Ovis aries: one gene and its partners. The protein of the gene in region 1 purifies or fractionates together with the protein of each later gene. This does not show direct contact. Links are inferred from orthologs where the notes say so. Each region holds a gene or a part of one and is shown in the gene's direction. Other genes may lie near its edges.

Region 1 (3,649 bases):
TGATTCTGGATGCAGTTTAAAGGTACAGTGATAGGATTCGCTAATGAATTGGATGTGTAAGAAAGAGAAGAATGTGGGTTGGTGGGTTGGAAGCGACCCGGTGTTCATTTCGAGGCATGTTAAGGTGCCTGTGAACCAAGTGGAGCCATTGGCAACAGGATGTGCGTGTTTGGAATCAGGGAAAGGGACTGGGACTGGGCAGCATGTGTTTCCTTGGCTTGCTTCTTCTTCCTTTTCTTTTGCCGTGGCTAGCAGGATCTTAGTTCCCCAACCAGGAATTGAACCCAGGCCATAAAATAGCATGCAAAAACCTGAACCAAATTTGGCTAACCCAGTATTTGAACTAGAACTTTTTCTTTTAACTGAAACTTTTACAGATCAGTGCTTTATTTGATGCACTTTGGTAATTTTTATTTTCTGTTTCATTTTTAAAAAGTCAGTCACCTGCAGTGCGATACAACAACACGCAGTTTGAAAAGCATGGTACGGGTTGAAACTAGAAGGTTGGATGAATTAAATTACCTCTGACGGAGAAACCATCACACTTCTCCAGGATGAGGAAGCCAAAGCAGGCTGAGGGGACTGGCTGCTGAGCCTCCGCCTGGATGCTGTGTTCTTGGTGTCCTCCCAGGTGACCACCTTGGTGCTACAGGGCCGGCTGGACGAGGCCCGACAGATGCTCTCCAAGGAAGCCGACACCAACCCCACCTCTGCAGGCATGTGCCGAGTCCTGGGGGACCTGATGAGGACCATGCCCGTTCTCAGCGTATGTGGAGCCGCCTGGGTCGCAGAGAGAGGTTTATACAGGGAGCGTGAGGGGCTGCCGTGGTGACCGCCCCTGTCTGCGTCTCTCCCACAGCCTGGGAACACGCAGACCCTGACGGAGCTGGAGCTGAGGTGGCAGCACTGGCACGAGGAATGCGAGCGGCACCTCCAGGACGGCACGTTCGCCTCCAACCCCCACCTCGAGTCCCTCTGCAAGGTCTGCTGGGAGCGGGTCCTGGCCAGGGGCCAAGCCAGCTCCTCCTGGAGTCCTGGCATCCAGCTCAGCAGCAGCTCCTCCTCAGACGGGGCTCTGTGTGGGCCCTGTTGGGAAGGAGTGAGCTTTTAACTCAGCTGCTCCAGCTGAGATGAGCCTTACAGGGAAGTGTCCCCAGAGTTAAGGGACAGCGTCTCTTCTCAGGTCCTGCTGGGAGATGATGCCGCCCTGCTGGAGCAGAAGGAGCTTCTGAGTAACTGGTATCACTTCCTGGTGACCCGGCTGCTGTACTCTCAGCCTACGGTCAAGCCCATGGATCTGCACCTCTACGCTCAGGTGCGTCAGCTCCTCCAGGAGGGGAGGGGAGTCGGCGTCCGGGGCTCCACTCCCTGCCAGTCACTTTCACCGTGTGGCCTTGTTGACTTGACCCTCCCTGGGGAACAGAGGGGGCTTTCCTTGGGCCCAGTTTGAAGGACCCCATTGCCCTTCTCCCGGGTCCCCTACACAGCAGCCCTGCCTGCCCCCTTGAGTCTCTGCCACCATCCAGGGACTGAATGGGTCACCACCTTTCCACAGTCCAGCCTTGACCTGTTTCTGGGAGGTGAGAGCAGCCCAGAGCCCCTGGACAACATCTTGATGGCAGCGTTCGAGTTTGACATCCACCAAGTGATCAAGGAGTGCAGGTAGGACCCGCTGCACCACCACCATGCTGGGCGCCTCAGGGCTGCAGTGCAGCGGCTGGTGCATTCACCATGTCACACGCCCATCACCGCCGTCCTTTTCCAGAGCGTCCTGCTCCTTCCTGTTGGTGTCTTAGGCTTCTTCCCACAGACCCGCACCCCCCGCCACATTAGGTAGACAGTGTCTTCTCTGGACAAGCCTGGGGGCCTTCCTGAGGCTTGCAGGCTCCTGTATCTTTAACAGTTTACACTTTAGGGATGTTTACTTAAAGTAATATTGCAAGAAATTACTATGGTATTTAAAATCCAGAAATAGCCAGCCAGCTTGTTTCTTGGAACCTGATGGACATGCAGCTACCTTACAGGACAGCACTTCTCTGGTGAGCCAGGAGCTACCACGCCACCACACGGGGCTGGGTCTGTTCAGAGCAGAGACTCTACACCAGCCCTCTCCCCAGATCTCTCCCCAGACCTTCAGCAAGGCAGGAAAGGGAGCGTGAAACAATGAATCCAAAGCAAAGCTTTCCAGAATCCCCACATGTAGTCGGTCAGAGAGAACTTCCCCTCCCTCTTCGTGCAGAGGGAGAAGGCTGGGAACCACTGGGGCAGGTGGCCCTGCTCAGGCATTGAATTCACTGACCTCCACACTGGATCTTTTCTTTGTTAGTGAATCTGGGCAGTGGGAAGGTCTCCCCGATTCCACCCCCCACCCCCACCCCACCCATGCTACCTGCTCTTCTGTTTGGCTAAAAGAAAGCCAAGGCCCACCATTCAGAAAATGGTGTTAGACTTGGAGAAAGGAAGGTTTGTGTCCATATTCTTTTCACAAACCTCTAAAATAGGGACTGGTTGGAACTGGAAGATAACTTAACAGAATTCAGCTGATTTTGGCAAGGGGTTGTATCTGCAGTGAAGGATCAGTGGGGATGGCTCCCAGAGGCACAGACACTAGTCTTTAGCTTTGTCAGTATCTCTGTCTCTAATTCAAAGCAATAGGCATTCCAGAATGTGTTGTCTGTTACAGGCAGTGGGTTATTTCTTCGAGGGCTTCCTTCATAAGCCACATCTGGGATTTTAGGATCAAGACAGATTTGAGCTAAAGAGGAAGGAAGGACAATAAAAAAGGTAAAGCACCTTGCTGTTTTCAGTGGTTGTAGAAGGAAAAGGTAAAGAAGTGTAACAAAGAGGCGTGGTGCTAATGAACGCCGCTGAAAAATGCATCACCCCTGCCAGTCTTGAAGGAGGAATGATCAGACTTGCAGCCCCTCAGTCTGGGTGTCCGTCTACCCTGGCAGGCAGGAAAAAAATCGAGGTATTTCCACTAGCTCGGAATCTAGGAGCTCGGGTTTTCCTGATCAGTAAGCTTCTTCCTGCCGTACTCTGAAAAGCAGGTCCCAGACCTCTGCCCATTAATTGAAAGAAGGGCTGAAGTATCCTCAGAGAGAGAGTGCCCTCTTGGACGAGGAAGGGTGGGATCTGGGGTCTCCTGAGCACTAGCTTTCTCATGGGTTGTTGTGGTTAGGCCCCAGCTCGCTTCCCAGGGGACAGTAGCGCCTCTGTCTCGCTGGGGCGCTGGTGGTGTAGGGGAGCCTTGAGCTGCAGGTCTGGTGTCAGCTGTTCACTCCTCTTAGGGAGAATGAGGGAACCCTTCCTCAGCTAGAAGGAAGCTTTCTATAGGGGTACTTGATGCTGCCATGTCAACCATGCCAGGCTGTGGGGCAGACAGGGCTCCAGAGGCAGAGCAGAGAGACCCTGAAAGTGTAGTCACTCAGTCATCTCCAGCTCTTTGTGATCCTATTGACTGCATGTAGCCTCCAGGCTCCTCAGTCCATGGGATTTTCCAGGCAAGAATGCTGGAGTGGGTTGCCATTTCCTTCTCCAGGGGATCTTCCTGACGCAGGGATTGAACTCACGCCGCCCGCATGGTGGGCAGGCTCTTTTACCATCTGAGCCATGAGGGAATCCCAGGGAGGCCCTGGGAGATCACAGT
Region 2 (3,649 bases), on another chromosome or scaffold:
AGGAGGAGAAAATGTCAGTTTTACTGTATGATGATTCTTTAAATATGGAAAAAAAGAATTTTCCCCCTGATTTCTGTTCATGAGTAATGCATTGCCCTGGTTTCTGTATGTCAGTGTCGTCAGACCGCCGCTTTGGGCTCCTTTTCTTGTGTTTGCTGAGTGTTATGATCTTGTTTCAGGCTGTTACTGTCATGGTTGCCACCAGAGAAGGATCCATCCGCTATTGGCCAAGCCTTGCGAGTGAAGATACCTACACAGAGACGTTCGTAGATCTGGGAGGTGATAAGACCTATAGTTTCCTAACAGCAGTACAGGTATACGATGGATATTCTTCTATATTTATTGGGAAACTGTCATTTGGCTTGGAATTCAGGTTTGGCTGACTAAAAATTTGTGATTTCGAGCAGATCATACAGGTAGGGCTGGGAGAAGATCAAAAAGGAGGCAAGGAAAGAATGTAAGAGTCTAGGATTTGAGCACTTAGGCCGAGGGAAGCCCTTCTCGTGGGACTCTGACCTGTCAGTGGAGCATAGTAGCCAGTGGTATTCGTTTCTGTCAGAAACATCTTTAGAGAGTGATTCAGAAACTCTTAGAGGAAGACTGGTTTGCTAATGCATATTCTGCTGGTTTACCAAAGAAATAAAATCTGATTCTTAATTTGTTGAACCTATGTAATGTGAACCTATAACTTAAAAATCAGAATTTAAAAAAAGTAATTAAAAAAATGGCTCTGAAGTTTTTCTGTGTAGTATTAAGTGAATGGATTCATAAATTATTTTTTAAAAATAGCACTGTTCTTTTTTTATTCTTTAGATTTATGTTGAGGTACAGATAATTTCCCTCGAAGCATATCAAAGTGATTTGTGTTCATTTTCTTTTCTTAGTCTTAAATACTTAACTAATTTCACATTTGTTCACAGGGAGGAAGTTTTATTTTATCCTCATCGGGGGGCCAACTAATCCGCCTGATACCTGAAAGTATAGGAAAAATCCATCAGCATGTCCTGCCTCAAGGACAAGGCGTGCTCTCAGGAATTGGTCGGAAGGTTTCTTCTCTTCTGGGAATCTTATCTCCTAGTAGTGATCTCATTGTAAGTTGGTGAAATGACTGTTTTACTAGCTTGTTTCTTAATGAAATCAGTAAGTTGGCAGTCTCCTATGAAGTTAGCGTTGCCACTGTATGTACAGTGGTGTATGTGAGATGAAAACTTTGATCTTTCAGTGAGGCATTTTTATTATGATGATTAGATGAGTTCATACTAACCCTCTTGCATCCTCTGTAACATTAATTATTCTTAAGTTTTATAGATTATCTGGTAAGCTCATTTTTTGAGTTAAAACTATGATGTAAAGTTATAAATGTGTTCAAGGATTAGTTTTGCTTTCTAGACGTAACCAAAAGTGTGCTTTCCACCCCCGAGCCTCCAGCTGTCTGTGTGGATGATGTCTGCTGGGCTGTGGCTCAGACTCTGGAGTAGTGAGTGAAGATGCTGGGAACTAACATCTTCAACTAACTGCACTAACAGAGCAGTGGGGCATCTGCTCTGCCAGGAGCCCTGTGTGTGTTATCTCCTGTAATAATTGTGATCCGTAATATATAGAGCTTCATGTCCCATTTGTGTTAAATAAATGGGGAAATGGCCTCAGTGAGGCTACCAAAATTGCCCAAAGTTCAAAACTGCTCAGCGACAGATGCATGCCCACATGTGTGTGAACTGAGAGCACCTTCCCCCGCCCCCGACTTTTCTGAAACATTTTATTTTATAGGCGTATAGCTGAGTAGCAATGCTGTGGCAGTTTCAGGTGGACAGTAAAGGGGCTCAGCCATACATACACGGGTAGCCATCCTCCCCCAGACTCCCCGTGCACCCAGGCTGCCATGTAACACTGAGCAGAGCTCCCTGTGCCATGCAGCAGGTCCCTTTGCATTAGCCCTGCTAAGTACTGCAGTACCACATCCTTTATGAAGTGGGGCTCTTCCCTCTGATTTCAGGTTGCTGTCATTATCTGCTTCCTTAAATGGTCTTTGAACGTAAGCTTTAACATGTCTAGAAGAAAATTGCTCGTGTTCTCTTCTCTCCTATTGACTTACAAAACTCATTTTTCTTTTGACCTATTTCTAATGGCACTGTCACCTTTTTCAGAGACCCAGGTATAAAATCCTGGTTGTGTGTGTATGTGTGTCTCCCTCTCTTTATGGGGCAGAATATTTACCAGCTTCTCTAGATTTGAGACATAGTGACAGGAAAAGTGGAGACAAATAGGGTTTTAGTTCAGCAGTCACATATACGCAATTTTTAAGTTGGGTTAGATGTGTTCTTCAGAAGCAAGGGAGATGAAGTGATATAAACGTGTGGAACTACACACACCCCTCCAGATTCCTTCTCCTGTAACAAATCTCTTGTGCTCACAAGCTATGGATATTATCTCCTTAGCTTACTTGGTTTACAAACTGACATTCAAGACTATGCTGTGTGTGAGCTTCAGTTTTGCTTCTTTCCTAGCTATAATCCACATTCTAGTTTAGCAGGACTGTGTTTTGTTCTTTAAAGAGCCTCTGACTTTCCTGCCTCCCTACTCTGCTCTTCCTGGGCCTTCTGCCTGTGAAAATCCTCCTTACTCTCAAGGTCTATTTCAGGATCACTTCTTCCCCTGAATCCTAAATGAAGAATTCTGCTAGGATTACTAATCAAATAGCTATAAAATATATGAATTTTTAATTTCAGGAAAATCATCACTGACACTAGAATTTAATAATCTATAAACTTTTTTTCTCCTCTCCATACAGCTTTCAAGCGTCCTCTGGGATAGAGAGCGAGCGAGCTTTTATAGCCTGACAAGTTCAAACATCAGTAAATGGGAATTAGATGATTCTTCAGAAAAACAAGCACATAGTTGGGATATAAATAGAGTCCTGAAGGAAAACATTATTGATGCTATCTGGGTAAGGAACAGTAACATTCATCTCTGTCATTTTTATTTATATAAAATTGCTAGTTCTTTTAGTAGAACGCATTTCAGTCATCAGATAAGCAGAGTATTCAATCTTTAGAAGTATTGGGACTCACTGGTTTACTTAATTTTTTAAATGCATACATTATTCATTCAATAAGTTTGACTTACTGTGGATGAGGCAGTTTAGTAGGTGCTGGGGATATAAAGGTGAAAAGAAATGATTTCTATACTGAAGGAGCTTACATTGTTGATATTTTCATGTAGGGATCTGAAAGTAACTATGAAGCTATTAAAGAAGGGGTCAACATTCGGTATTTGGATTTGAAGCAAAACTGGTAAGCAACTCATTTGTCATGCAGAGCATAGGTAGTTGTTTGGAAAAACAGATTGGTGTTTGTTATAGAATAATAAGCACCCTTGCTGTCTGTTCTGATGTGTCTAACCCTAATCTTATATTATTCCGCCTTATTGAATCGCTTTGTTCTGTCTGGCAGTGCTAATTCGTTTCAGAAGTGTTGGCAGTTTTCGGCCTTCCACTGAGTGTCCCATTAGCTGTCTGCCCTTGTTAGGGATCATCTGTTCTGCTCGAATAGCTGGAGCTCCTGAGAGCTGCCTGCCCTGCTGCTGGTTGTGTTCCATGCTGTCGTCTCTGCTGACTCAGTGGAGGTTCTGGGGGCTCTTCTCCAGTCCTTTT
Region 3 (4,153 bases), on another chromosome or scaffold:
TTGTACTGAAAACAAAAATAATAATAGTACTATCTCAGAGGGTTTTGTGAAAAGTAAATGATGTAAGTACAAGATAAGTTTTTAGAACAACGCCTGGCACATATAAAAGTCCATCTCATTCAGGAGTTAGAACACTTTCGGGAAGGTTCCAACAGTAAACATTGAGGCATGCAGCACATAAGGTCTCTTACAACTATTCAAACTTCATCTTGGTGGGTGAAACTAGCCACAGACAATACATAAACAAATGAGCACAGCTCGGCTTTAGCAAAATTTTACAGAAATTTAAAGATCATAAAATTTTCACATATTATAAAATATTATTCTGCTGGACTTTTTTTTTTTTTTCAACCAACCAAACATGTAAAATCCATTCTTAGCTCACGAACTGGCTGCACAAAAACAGGCAGTACCACGAGTTCACCAAGCCTCTAGCCTTGACTCTTTCAGTAGCTAGCTGGCTGCGTGAGCCCAAGGAATAAGCCCTGACTGCCTAGGAAGAGGTAGAATACTTCCAGAAATCAAGGAGACAATGATTATACAAGTATTCTGAACGTCAGGCTGCAACATACAAAGAGTAGTAGAAGATAGCAGCGATATTAAACACTTGTTTTTAGCATTTGGATTCCAAGCTGCACTGCAGCAAAAATTGTAAGGCAGGAAAATGTCACTGGGGAGCCAGTATGAGATGGATAAGAGACATACTAGGGTCCTCATTTACTGGCTGTATGTCCTTCAGTATTTAAAACCTCGGATGAGCATAAATTTCTTCATCTGTAAAACGGAAATGATTATCTCCTAGTTCATAAAATTAGGACACGTTAGTGAGACAGTAAATGGAGGTGCTCAATAAAAAAGGGCACCGTTGCTGCTCATGGTATGCAGGTCCTTGGGCGGAAGTAAAACGGTGAGGGCGAAAGTGGAGTCTACCTAATCCTGGTTTCCTGCCTAATTAACTCATCTAAGTAGGGCTCTGTGCCTTATTCTTCCAGTCAGCAGATGATCCCTCAGCACCTTCCAGCTCCATCAATGGAACATAAGAACTCTGTTCAATATCCCCAGACCAAAACAAAAACACTCCACAAATATTACTCTAGGCAATCACATGGCGCTCTACTGTTACCGAAAAACCCTCACAAGTCGCAGCTTAAAGCCTGCAGACGGGAGAGAAAAAGATGACACTCACCTGGCTCGGGGAGAACCCAGGAGGTGCAGACTCGCCTGAAGAAAACTCCAGCCGGCTGCACAAGGGTGACTGTTCGAGAGAGCGCAGGTTTACATTTTAAATCTCGCGGGAGGGCCCGCCAGCCAATCGCAGCTCCCGCCCTCTGACCCGGAAGCAGAGCCGGCGCGCGCCGCAGCAGCCCAAGGTGAACAGCAGCTCGGCTCTATCTGCTTCCAGGCGCCCTCCGGTGCGTATCGCGCGTCAGCCCAAGGGGCATGGCTCGGCTGCCGGTCGCCACGCGCCTTCAATCTATCCCTGGGAGTTCCTCCTCTCCTCGGGCCGTTCCCCACCCCTCTTCCTTTCGACCTCGGGCTCCGGGAGGTAGTGGCGGGGTATCGCGGTATTTGCGTGGCTCTGGAAGAGGTGTCAGGGCTATGCGGGGACTTTTCTTGTTCCCTCTCTCCGCTGTTTTCGCAATTTTAGAGGGGCAAGTCCAGCCCGCTTTGTACAGTGAGACCCTGAGACTGTAATTAGACTGGACACTGCTTTAATGAACAGTTAGAAACGGAGTTTCCTAATCTGGAATCTTTTGCACTTCCACACTGCTGCCTTACCTGTTGGTCACTTTTTACAACTGTTTAGTCCCAGATGCCCACTCTTAAGGTTACTAGGTTATAGACTTCCCGAGGTGGAACTCATATGATTTCTTAGTAGATACTCACAAGATATTTGATGTGTTTGCTATCAAACCCAGCTGTTTTCAGGACAACCCCTACCGTCCTATTAAAAACAAAAACAAAAAAGTGACCTCTTCAGAATCTATGTCTCATCTGGGAATGCTACTTTCAGAATGCACACCAGGCCATGAAACGTTAGCTGAAGTTTTGTTCCTGGTTTTATGAATACTATTTTGTATCCCATTTTGGCATTCCTTCCTCCAGATTGTATATTTTGTATCTGCTTATTTTATAGTATTGTTCACACTGAATCATAAATAACCCTGGATTGTGAGCTTTTTCAAAACAGGCTTTTGTGTTTCTCTTTCTTGTACTGGTGTCCAACATTTAGAAAGTCTCACATTCTGGCTCCTCTTATGAGATTGGCAAGCAAGTTAATCTGAAGTCCCGATTTCTTCATCTGTAAAAAGGGGACCATAGTACCTCCCTCTTAGGTTTGTGCAAGTATCAGGCATGGTAATGTTAGTAAAATACTTAATGGTGGCGCTTGCAGGTACAGCTCCATAATGTTAATGATCATTAATTTTTTATGAGTATATTTCCTAGTAGTGTAATTCCATCTATAAGTACTCCCTGTCCTTAAAATAATCTAGACAGAATTTTGTAGTGACTTTCTCTGCAAGTACCGTTCACAAAGTAGTTGAATAATTTTTTTTTGAGCTGCCTGTCATCACATCCTAACACTTTGATGGTTTCTGTTTCTGTGCTGTAATCCACAGTTCTGTGACCTTGTCCAATAGAAGGCTGTTTTTGCAGCTGCACAAGTTTTGCCATACAAGATGAAGCAAGATGCCACAAGAAATGCTGCCTACACTGTGGATTGTGAAGATTATGTGCACGTGGTAGAATTCAATCCCTTTGAGAGTGGGGATTCAGGAAACCTAATTGCATATGGTGGCAATAATTTTGTGTTCATTGGCACCTGTACATTTCAGGTTAGTGTGAACCTGAACATTTCAGGTTAGTGCACTGAGTGACAGTGAAGATGTTTCACTGAAAAGAAAACTTACACAAACTTTGGTAATTTTCACTAAACTTTGAAAGCATGAGATGAAGAACTACTGAGAAAGACATTCCTAGGAATATATGCCTAATATTTGTGCAAACATTGAATAAGTATTGAAAAGGAAGAATACAGTTGACCCTTAAACAACACAGATTTGAACTGTGTAGTTCACTTATACATGGATTTTTTTTTCAGTAGTAAATACTAGGATACTGTAGAATCTACAGTTAGTTGAATCTGCAGATGCCGAGGAATTGCCCACAGGGAGAAAAATGAGAGTATTAGTCTCTTAGGGCTGTCAGACTCTTTGCAACACCATGGACTATAGCCTGCCAAGCTCTTCCTCTGTCCATGGAATTCTCCAGGCAAGGGTACTGGAGTAGGTTGCCATTCCCTTCTCCAGAAGATCTTCCTGACCCAGGGATCGAACTGAATCTCTCGCATTGTCGGCAGATTTTTTACTATCTGAGCCACCAGGGAGACTTACTGCAAGTTAAACCAGGATTTTCAACTGTGTGGAGTCATTCCCCTAAACCCCACTATTCAGGGGCAAGGCTATATACATATATACGTATATAAGGCCTATGTATGCTTTATGCTTTATGATTAGAAATGGAATATTCTAGTAATTGAAGGTTATGATTAACTATACCTTGTTATGTGCAGGAAAAATACCAATTAGATCTGGTTAATTACTAAATCCAGCTTTTCTGTATTCCACTTTGACATAGGAAAAAAAAAAACAAGCTAGTAGTATTGAGAGCTTAAAAATGATCTTCCAGGAGATTTTATAGCTGTGATGATATCAGCTTTCCTAGTCACTTTCATGCTTTTTATATATCTAGAGTATACAGAGTATGAGCTCTATGAATTGAACAGGCAATTCAGCATAGTCATTAAGACCGTGAACTCTCGAGCCAAAATGCCTGGGTTTTTGTTCCTGCCCGGCTTTACCTCTTAATAGCTAGGTGACCTTGAGCAGGTACTTAACCTCTCTGCTATAAAAATGAGAACAATTATACACTTGACTCTTGGACATTGTGGAGGTAAGGGACAATGGATGCAGTCAACATCCAGGTGTAGCTATAGTTCCCTGATTCCTCATCCATGGATTCAATCAACAGCAAATCATATAGTCCTCTAGTAGATATGTTTTGAAAAAAAATCTGTATATAAGTCAACACAGTTCAAAATCATGATTTTCAAGAGTGAACTGTACTTAACTGTACTGAATGTCATAAGTTA

Evidence for each region.
Region 2: the proteins of NUP85 (region 1) and NUP133 purify together in Homo sapiens (affinity purification with mass spectrometry; 5 studies listed by BioGRID and IntAct, with this or other methods). This does not show direct contact. The link is inferred for Ovis aries from reciprocal best matches to the Homo sapiens genes NUP85 and NUP133.
Region 3: the proteins of NUP85 (region 1) and NUP37 purify together in Homo sapiens (affinity purification with western blotting; 4 studies listed by BioGRID and IntAct, with this or other methods). This does not show direct contact. The link is inferred for Ovis aries from reciprocal best matches to the Homo sapiens genes NUP85 and NUP37.

What each region holds. Positions count from the first base shown.
Region 1 is NC_056064.1:55,591,451-55,595,099, reverse strand, and holds part of NUP85 (nuclear pore complex protein Nup85), read left to right. Parts: intron 1-631; coding exon 632-766; intron 767-859; coding exon 860-982; intron 983-1,183; coding exon 1,184-1,315; intron 1,316-1,555; coding exon 1,556-1,662; intron 1,663-3,649. UniProt on the Homo sapiens protein: Essential component of the nuclear pore complex (NPC) that seems to be required for NPC assembly and maintenance. As part of the NPC Nup107-160 subcomplex plays a role in RNA export and in tethering NUP96/Nup98 and NUP153 to the nucleus.
Region 2 is NC_056078.1:1,013,920-1,017,568, reverse strand, and holds part of NUP133 (nuclear pore complex protein Nup133), read left to right. Parts: intron 1-179; coding exon 180-314; intron 315-920; coding exon 921-1,091; intron 1,092-2,788; coding exon 2,789-2,944; intron 2,945-3,219; coding exon 3,220-3,290; intron 3,291-3,649. UniProt on the Homo sapiens protein: Involved in poly(A)+ RNA transport. Involved in nephrogenesis.
Region 3 is NC_056056.1:171,523,447-171,527,599, reverse strand, and holds the start of NUP37 (nucleoporin Nup37), read left to right. Parts: upstream 1-1,341; 5' UTR 1,342-1,412; intron 1,413-2,621; 5' UTR 2,622-2,681; coding exon 2,682-2,837; intron 2,838-4,153. UniProt on the Homo sapiens protein: Component of the Nup107-160 subcomplex of the nuclear pore complex (NPC). The Nup107-160 subcomplex is required for the assembly of a functional NPC.